2 linked regions of the Oryctolagus cuniculus genome follow. The protein of the gene in region 1 interacts with the protein of each later gene in a biochemical or structural test. Links are inferred from orthologs where the notes say so. Each region holds a gene or a part of one and is shown on either strand. Other genes may lie near its edges.

Region 1 (4,512 bases):
GTCTTTACTGCTCATCTGTGGGCCGGGACAGCAGGATTTGCATTTTGGACTTGATAACTTGTAGTCAGTGGGGACTATATGTCTCAAAGTGCCTCCCTCCCCATCATTCTGCAATGGCAGAAAGGGATAAAAGTGTACCAAGGTGGTGGGAAGACCCAGAGATTGGGGTTGAAGGCTGTAAATGGGCTGGCAGAGTTCATCCTGGGTAGCTCATTTAACTCCTCTGTGCAGAACTGTTTAACATTTTTAAAAAAGATTATTTATTTGAAAGAGAGATACAGAGAAAAAAGGAGAGAGAGTAAGATCTTTCACCTGCTGATTCACTTCCCAAGTTGCTGCAATGGCCAGAGCCCGGCCAATCCGAAGCCAGGTGCGTCTTCCAGGTCTCCTATGTGGGAGCAGGGGCCCAAGCACTTGGGCCATCTTCTGCTGCTTTCCCAGGCCATAAACAGAGAGCTGGATCGGAAGTGGAGCAGCCAGGACACCAACCGGCATCCATATGGGATGCCGGCACGGCAGGCAGAGGCTTACCCTTCTATGCCACAGCACCAGCCCCATTTAACATCTTTATGCCATTCCCCAGTTGAACTGGAACCTAACCCAGTCTTGATGCGCGACTCAAATGGTGCAAGGGATGTGAAGAGGCTTTGGGAAGACGACATCTCTCCCAACCTGAAGGAGGCGACACTGGTGAGGGTGCAGCAGGTGTTGAAGATGCTACAGACAAGTCCGCAAAAGCAGCGGCCAGCACACAGCCAACCTGTGTTCCATTTTCTTTTCAACCTTGGGTCCTGAGTCTGCTCCTGGCTTGGAATCAGGACTCCCGCAGAGGGCCTCACATCAACAGACACCGCTGTAACTTTCTGAGTTCCATGCGTGGGCTAGGCACATGTCTCATTTCTAATCTTCACAATCAAGTGCGTTCTTGACATTTCTGTTCACGTGCAAGGGTTAGGGCCAAGGCGTCTCTTCTTAACCTGTGCTCTTAACCACTGCCCTGGAGGCGAGAAAGACCCGGACTGCACCTGCTGGGGGAAAGGTTCACGTGTACACACTTTTTTTTTTTTCCAAGTGACTGAACTGGGGACACTGTCTACCGGCCATCTTGGTTGTGGCAACCCCAATCCTTTTTGATTTTTTTTTTCCTGTGACGACAACCAAGGGACTTGGACCAAGTCGTCGTGGCCCTACCCAGCTTTCTAAATCGGGCCCAGCCACTTCCAGGGTAAAGAGCGCGGCTTTCCCGCCCGCCGGGTCCGGGGAGTGGGCGGCGGCGCCACAGCGCGGCCTGCTCCGCGCCCTGCCCTCGCCTCGCGGGTCCTCGGCGGCCGGGGAGGGGCTCGGCGGGGCCACGACGGCCCCACGCCCCGCGGCTCCGCCCCCTCATTTAAATACGCGGCGCCGGCGGGTGCGTCGAGCTCGCCGCGGACCCAAGATGGCGGCGTGTGGACGTGTACGGAGGATGTTCCGCTTGTCGGCGGCGCTGCCGCTGCTGCTGCTCGCGGCGGCCGGGGCCCAGAAAGTCCCAGGCCAGGGCGTCCACGGTCAGGGCCAGGGCGCAGGGGTCAACGCGGTGCCCTTTGCAGGGCAGGCCGGAGGCGGCGGCCCAGCGGGTCCGCAGCTGCCCCCGTCATCGCAGCTCCAGCAGCAGCAGCAGCAGCAGCAGCAGCAGCAGCAGCAACAGCAGCCGCCTCAGCCGCCGCAACCGCCTTTCCCGGCGGGTGGGCCTCCGGCTCGGCGGGGCGGAGCGGGGCCCGGCGGAGCCGGCGGGGGCTGGAAGCTGGCGGAGGAAGAGTCCTGCAGGGAGGACGTGACCCGTGTGTGCCCCAGACATACCTGGAGCAACAACCTGGCGGTGCTCGAGTGCTTGCAGGACGTGAGAGAGGTGAGCGGGCGGGCCGGGCCGGGCCGGGAGGGCCAGGCCTGGTGCGGGCCCGCGGGTGCCGCCGAGTGTAGGTCGCCGCTGCGCTGCCCGCCCCTCTCTCCCGGGCGCCCTAGGGGGAGAGGACCCCACCCCCACCCCCAGCCCCAGCGGGCCCTTCTTCGCCCCCCTGTTCGGCGGGCTGGGACGGAGACCTCGGCTCCCCGCCTCAGCCGCCCGCGGCCCAGAGCGTGTTTCTGTTTGCTCCTGTCTTTTGTGTGATGCTCCTCGCCGAGAGCCACTTTAGCATTTTGCCCTCGGGTTCGACTCGGGCGATTTGTAGCAATCCATTTTAAACCTGGAAAATGCTTGGCGTGCTTCAGCTGCTGGGTGTGGGCTGTTCATTGGCTGTAGATCGTGTTTGATTAGGGGTCTGTTCTGGTGTGTGTTGTAGCCAACAGCAGGATTTATTGTCTTAACCCTCGTCCTTTTGTAATTTGCTGGTCCCCTCTTTTTTTTTTTTTTTTTAAACCTGGTGAACCGAGTGTGTGCTCTCCCTCTTTTGGTCAGTTTGTAGCGAACCTCGTTTTTAAACTTACACCATGTACCTTGGCGCCCCAAAGCTTGGAAAGTTGGGGCAGCGTGTGAAGCTGTAGTCCCTAACAGTGTATGTGGTTAGGTGGTGGAATCTTCCCTGAGGTCTGAGTCAGACTTCAGCAGCACCTCGGCATGAAATCTGCAGTGGATGTTGTCTGATAGGATTCAGCTAAGGGACGTGGGTAGTTGCTTCTCTAGATTTAATGCTGGGGTCATAAGTGCCTACTGGCCATTCTCAGTCCAAGTCTGGAAGCAGATCTGGTGGGGATTCTCTTTTCTAAGACGTAGATTTGCAGAACCAGCCCACCAGGTTGACAAGGAGAGGCTGCTGCTGTTTTGTCCGGGATGTTGTGTCTTGAATGCTGTCTAAGGCGCGCAAGGCTTTGGGAAGACCGCTGGCTTGGGGAAATGTGCTGCTCTTGGTCATTTTCTGCCTTCAGCCCACTGCCAGGCTCGTCCTAGTATTCTCCATAAAGTAATTCAGAAGAGACACCCAGAATCAGGAGAAGTTTCCAGAGCCACCAGACACGTGGGGCCTCCGTGATGTCTCACGTGTAGCTTGAAGCCAGAAGGAAGCTCCCTTGCTACTCTTCTTCAGCTGTTTTAGCAGCTTCAGCTACGATTCCTAACGCTGCCAAGCATTATGGAGTTTTCTGTTTGTTCCCTCAGGATACTTAATAGAGCTTGTTTCCTCACACGGGGATCCTAACACTGGTGGCCACCCATTGTTAGTGGTTGGTGGCAGAAACAGAACCTTATTAGGGAAAGTGGCAAAAAGTGTCCCATGCAAGTCTCCTTCATTTGCGTTAGAAACATTTGAAAATCTACAGTCTTCCTTTGTTGTGCGTGTAGACGTTTGTAGAGGTATACATACTCCGTAAATGACATAGATTTGATGATTTCCTGGAATCTGCTTAATTTATATCTTTGTTATATTACTTAGTATGTAGAAAACTACACTGGCTTGAAAATTCACTCCTAGCTCTACCAGTGACTGTAAGATTCCCAGCAAGGATATTATCACAGTAACTACATTTTTCTTCTTTTGTAGGGGTGATCCCTAAACTCTGAGGGGTAGTACCTAATTCAGTGCTGGCATCTCTGAAATACTGTTTGACTGAGGATGACTAAACTTATGGAGCTGATTTTATGCTCCAGAGGAAGAAAGGTATCATGTAAATTGGAGATGGGGGTATGTCTTTGGAGATGAGGGGCTAAATTTCCAATTTAGAAAAATTTCCTGCAAGGCCGGCGCCGCGGCTCACTAGGCTAATCCTCCCCCTGCAGCGCCGGCACACCGGGTTCTAGTCCCGGTCGGGGCACCAGATTCTGTCCCGGTTGCCCCTCTTCCAGGCCAGCTCTCTGCTGTGGCCCGGGAGTGCAGTGGAGGATGGCCCAAGTGCTTGGGCCCTGCACCCCATGGGAGACCAGGAGAAGCACCTGGCTCCTGGCTTTGGATCAGCACAGTGCACTGGTCGCAGCCCACCGGCTGCGGCGGCCACTGGGGGGTGAACCAATGGAAAAAGGAAGAGCTTTCTCTCTGTCTCTCTCTCTCACTGTCCACTCTGGCTGTCAAAAAAGAAAGATAAAAGAAAAATTTCCTGCAAGTTTACATACAGAAATATGGAAAGAAGAACACCATAAATACATGTGTATATTCTTGAGTAGATAGTTATTTTTAAACTTTTTTTTCTTTAAAGAGAGCAGAAGGGGGGAAAGCATTGTTGCACAGCTGGTTAAGCCGCCACTTGGGGCACCTGTGTCCCATATTGCAGTGCCAGTTTGAGTTCCGGCTACTCTGCTTCTGATATATATAAGTGGCAGAGCTGATACTCAGCAAGTCCCTTTTGGGTTCAAGAACATACTCTTTCCAGTCTGCTGCAGATGGTTGTAGCTACTGTGTGATTGTTGAGAATGCTACAGATTTATAAATGGATACAAAATGGGCAGTGTCACCTGGAACTTGAATCCTCTTTTCCTCACTATCAAGAATGAGTTGCGGCCGGCGCTGCGGCTCACTAGGCTAATCCTCCACCTTGAGGCGCTGGCACACT
Region 2 (3,808 bases), on another chromosome or scaffold:
TTTCCCCATGTTTTAGTTAGGGCACTTTGACAAGGTAGCTAAACTCTCTGGGTCCCAGTTTTCTTATTGCAAACTGAAGATGATAATCATACTGACTTTGTAGGCTCATGGTGACACAGTGCCTGGCACCCAGGAAACAATAGAGTTTCTAGTGTTATTCTCACCTACACAGGGTGAGACATGAATAGAACTAATCTGATTTTATTCATTTCAGTTGTGACCTGTGAAGCACAGGTACAGCCTCAGCACGGGAGCCTGAATTGTACCCACCCTTTGGGGAACTTCAGCTACAATTCTTCCTGCTCTGTCAGCTGCGAAAGGGGCTACCTGCCAAGCAGCACGGAGACCACATGGTGTACATCCTCAGGAGAGTGGAGTGCTCCCCCTGCAACCTGCAAAGGTAAATTTCTCGGAGTGCAGAGGACATTCTCTAGTTCATCTCACCTTGCCTTGGTGTTCCATCCAGCTTATAATATTTTCAAAACTCCAGGGAAATGTCTTCTTGTGTTGTTTTAAATAACCAATGCAGCCAATGTATTAGGCAAATGTGGTACCTGCTTGGTGTGAGAGAGATTTTTATTCTCTGAAATGGATGTCTCCGAGGCCCTGGTGGTTCTCCAGGGCGAATATAAAACACAAGAACCTCACTGTAAATTAGAGCAACTCTCTCATCTTCACCTGTTTAACTTTCCCATGCAACGGACTAACCTAGGACCTCAATAATCAGGCACTCTCAACCTCTCTTTGGCTCACTCAAGCTTATCTTTTTGGACCAGAGTAACAAAATAATTCAATCCTTCAGGTCCTTCTGGTCTTGAATGATTAAAAGCCTTGGGCATGTCTGTGTGGTTTTTTTTAATCAAAATTAATCATAAATACTGATCTAAAATCAGTTTTTTTCATTTTTGCCTATGTATATGACAAAGTGCATCAGAGTCCACTCAGCCTAGTCAAAGTAAAAATGTGATAAGATGGAAACTCACTAAAAAAAGAATAAAAGCTTTATTGTGGGAATGCATATCTCTAAAAATTGAAGTAGGACTTTGGGATCTACCCTTTGGAAGCATCTTCCTTGTCCTGTTCTAAATTCCAATTCAATAGGAAGTGAAAATATCATTCTGTAAAACTCATGGTGCTCTTTCAAATCCCCAGTGGTCGAGTGTGATACTATGGGAAAGCCTGCCAATGGGGATGTAAAATGTTCCCCAAGCCAGGGAAGCGCCCCATGGAACACGACCTGCACATTTGACTGTGAGGAAGGATTTACACTGCTGGGAGCTCGGAGCCTCCAGTGTACCTCATCTGGGAGCTGGGACAATGAGAAGCCAACTTGTAAAGGTAGAGTTGCTGCACATCAAGACTTACCGTGAACATTCTCTTTTCTCTACTAATTCTTGAAATGAGCAAGGTGGACCGGCTAATCCAATGCATCCATATGTTACAGCTGTGTCATGTGACGCCATCCACCACCCCCAGAATGGCTCGGTGAGCTGCAGCAACTCCTCTGAAGGGAAGTTCGCCTTCAGGTCATCCTGCAACTTCACCTGTGAGGAAAACTTCCTGTTACGGGGGCCGGCCCAGGTGGAATGCACTGCACAGGGCCAGTGGACACAGCAAGCCCCAGTGTGTGAAGGTAAGCCTGCAAACCTCCTGGCCCCTTCCTTTCTCAAAAAGCAGTGGTCTTCAAATTTGGGCAGTGCACATGAAACCAGATGTCCACTTTATCTGTAGAAATCAGACTTGAAGAACACTCATCTTCCATCTATAGGATTTATATAAAAGAACCAGTGCTTGGTCAGGGAGAGGACTGTATATATTAGTGTGTGCTTTGTGGATGCTTTGGCATGGAATAAGCAGAATTATTAATCTAAAAGAAATAACTTTAGAACATTTGAAAAGAGGAATATTGAGAATATGATTTAAATCTAAAAGTTTTTGTCATCTTTATTCTGAAATTGCTTATAACTAGCAGAGATGAGACTTGGTGTCTGTTACAGAGACACTTAATATGTACATATATGAATACTGAAATTTACTTCAGCCTAAATCAAGAGAAAGGATATTGCAAGCAAGCTTGTGTTACTAACAGGCACTGGCATTCTCCTTGACATATATACCCCAGAATGGTTTCAGTGGAAAACTGCCGTAACACCAAAACCAACATGCAAAGCAGATAAACTTGATATAGGTCATCTTCTATATTTTTGGTGCCATCTTTAGGCATCTAGGACCCCAAAACTGCTTTCTGGCTGCATAAAATCTTTTCCTTGTCCATAACTTCTGCATGTCAGAAGAATGTTTAGGAACCACTGTTCCTGTTCAAGCTGTCCTTTAATTAGTGCCATTATCAAGGAAGGGATTACAATTTCAAGAAACCACAGCCGTCTTCCCAGGTGCCTCAGGAATAATGAAGAATCTTGAGTTTTTGAGTAGTGCTTTGCCCCACATAACTGGATTCACTCCCCAGATGCTCAGTTCCACAGCAGTATTTTCTGACAACCCTTTTGATGTCACAGCGTTCCAGGTTATAACCTTGTCCAGCCTGGAGTGACACTATGTGAATTATCTTCTTAGTGCTTCTGAAAGTTTCCAGCCATGAATTAATCTGTGAGCAGAGCAGGGAGTTTTGTTGAAGGGAACAAAAAGGCTCCAGTGTGGCTCCACAGTAGGACAATGAGAAGCCCACATGTGAAAGGCATGGTCTTTGTTTTTATTTTAGAAAAAACAAAACAAAAAAAACCCACAACTATTGAAAAGCTTAGGGGCTTGACTACCTTGGAGAACCTTTTGTGGTTCGATGCAAACAAAACTGCAGTGTTCTTGCTCTTGTCTTCTAGCTGTGAAATGTGATCCTGTGCATACACTTGAGGATGGCTTTGTGAAGTGTACTCATCCCCATACTGGAGAATTCACCTACAAGTCCTCCTGCACTTTCAACTGCAGGGAAGGCTTTGAATTACATGGGTCAGCTCAACTCGAGTGCACATCTCAGGGACAGTGGGCACAGGAGCTCCCCTCCTGCCAAGGTATGACTGAGTTCCAGCTTGTAGAGTACGGGTGAAATAGCTCAGAAACTCCTGACCCTAGATTATCCCAAGGGGCTTGATCCTAATTTCCTATATGCTGAAGATTAAGTGGTGCTTATAAGTTGCCTTTACTGGTGACTTTTAAGCCAGTTTAAGAAGGATTCCAATAGATTTTTCCTAACCATTTCCCCTGTTACCTATCATTTGCAGTGGTACAATGTCCAAGCCTGGCAGTTCTGGGAAAGACGAATGTGAGTTGCAGTGGGGAGCCTGTGTTTGGAACAGTGTGCAATTTTGCATGTCCTGAAGGGTGGACACTCAACGGCTCTGCAGCTCTGATGTGTGGTGCCGAAGGCCAGTGGTCTGGGATGCTGCCTACCTGTGAAGGTGATACATTGATCGATGGTGGTGGTGGGAGCCTACAGAGAAGGGGAATTGTCTGGCTGCAGTAATGAACTATCCTCATGTCCATAGCAGAAAGAAAGATCAGATTCACAAACTGGTGGACCTTATAGAGATAGAGAAAAAAAGCAGAAGAGGTAGCAAGTCAGTGGAATGGGTGTGGAATGGGTAGAATTCTGACAATTGGTAAAAGATGACCTTCAAGGGAAAGGAGGAGTGAGAAGTGGGGAAAAAAGGAGAGAGAGAGAGACACAGAGAGACAGACTCAGGTGTGTTACAGTTTTGTGAAAGGCTTGGCTAGTTAGAGTTCAGCCTGGCAGAAGTGGGAGATTGGCTCAAAGGCAGATAGGACAGATTTTAAAGGCCTCTATTGCTTTTTC

What was found.
Region 2: the proteins of GLG1 (region 1) and SELE form a complex in vitro, tested with the Homo sapiens proteins (2 studies listed by BioGRID and IntAct). The link is inferred for Oryctolagus cuniculus from reciprocal best matches to the Homo sapiens genes GLG1 and SELE.

What each region holds. Positions count from the first base shown.
Region 1 is NC_091449.1:57,187,635-57,192,146, reverse strand, and holds the start of GLG1 (Golgi apparatus protein 1), read left to right. Parts: upstream 1-1,411; 5' UTR 1,412-1,435; coding exon 1,436-1,885; intron 1,886-4,512. UniProt on the Homo sapiens protein: Binds fibroblast growth factor and E-selectin (cell-adhesion lectin on endothelial cells mediating the binding of neutrophils).
Region 2 is NC_091438.1:27,592,953-27,596,760, reverse strand, and holds part of SELE (E-selectin), read left to right. Parts: intron 1-214; coding exon 215-400; intron 401-1,152; coding exon 1,153-1,338; intron 1,339-1,444; coding exon 1,445-1,633; intron 1,634-2,837; coding exon 2,838-3,026; intron 3,027-3,236; coding exon 3,237-3,413; intron 3,414-3,808. UniProt on the Homo sapiens protein: Cell-surface glycoprotein having a role in immunoadhesion. Mediates in the adhesion of blood neutrophils in cytokine-activated endothelium through interaction with SELPLG/PSGL1. May have a role in capillary morphogenesis.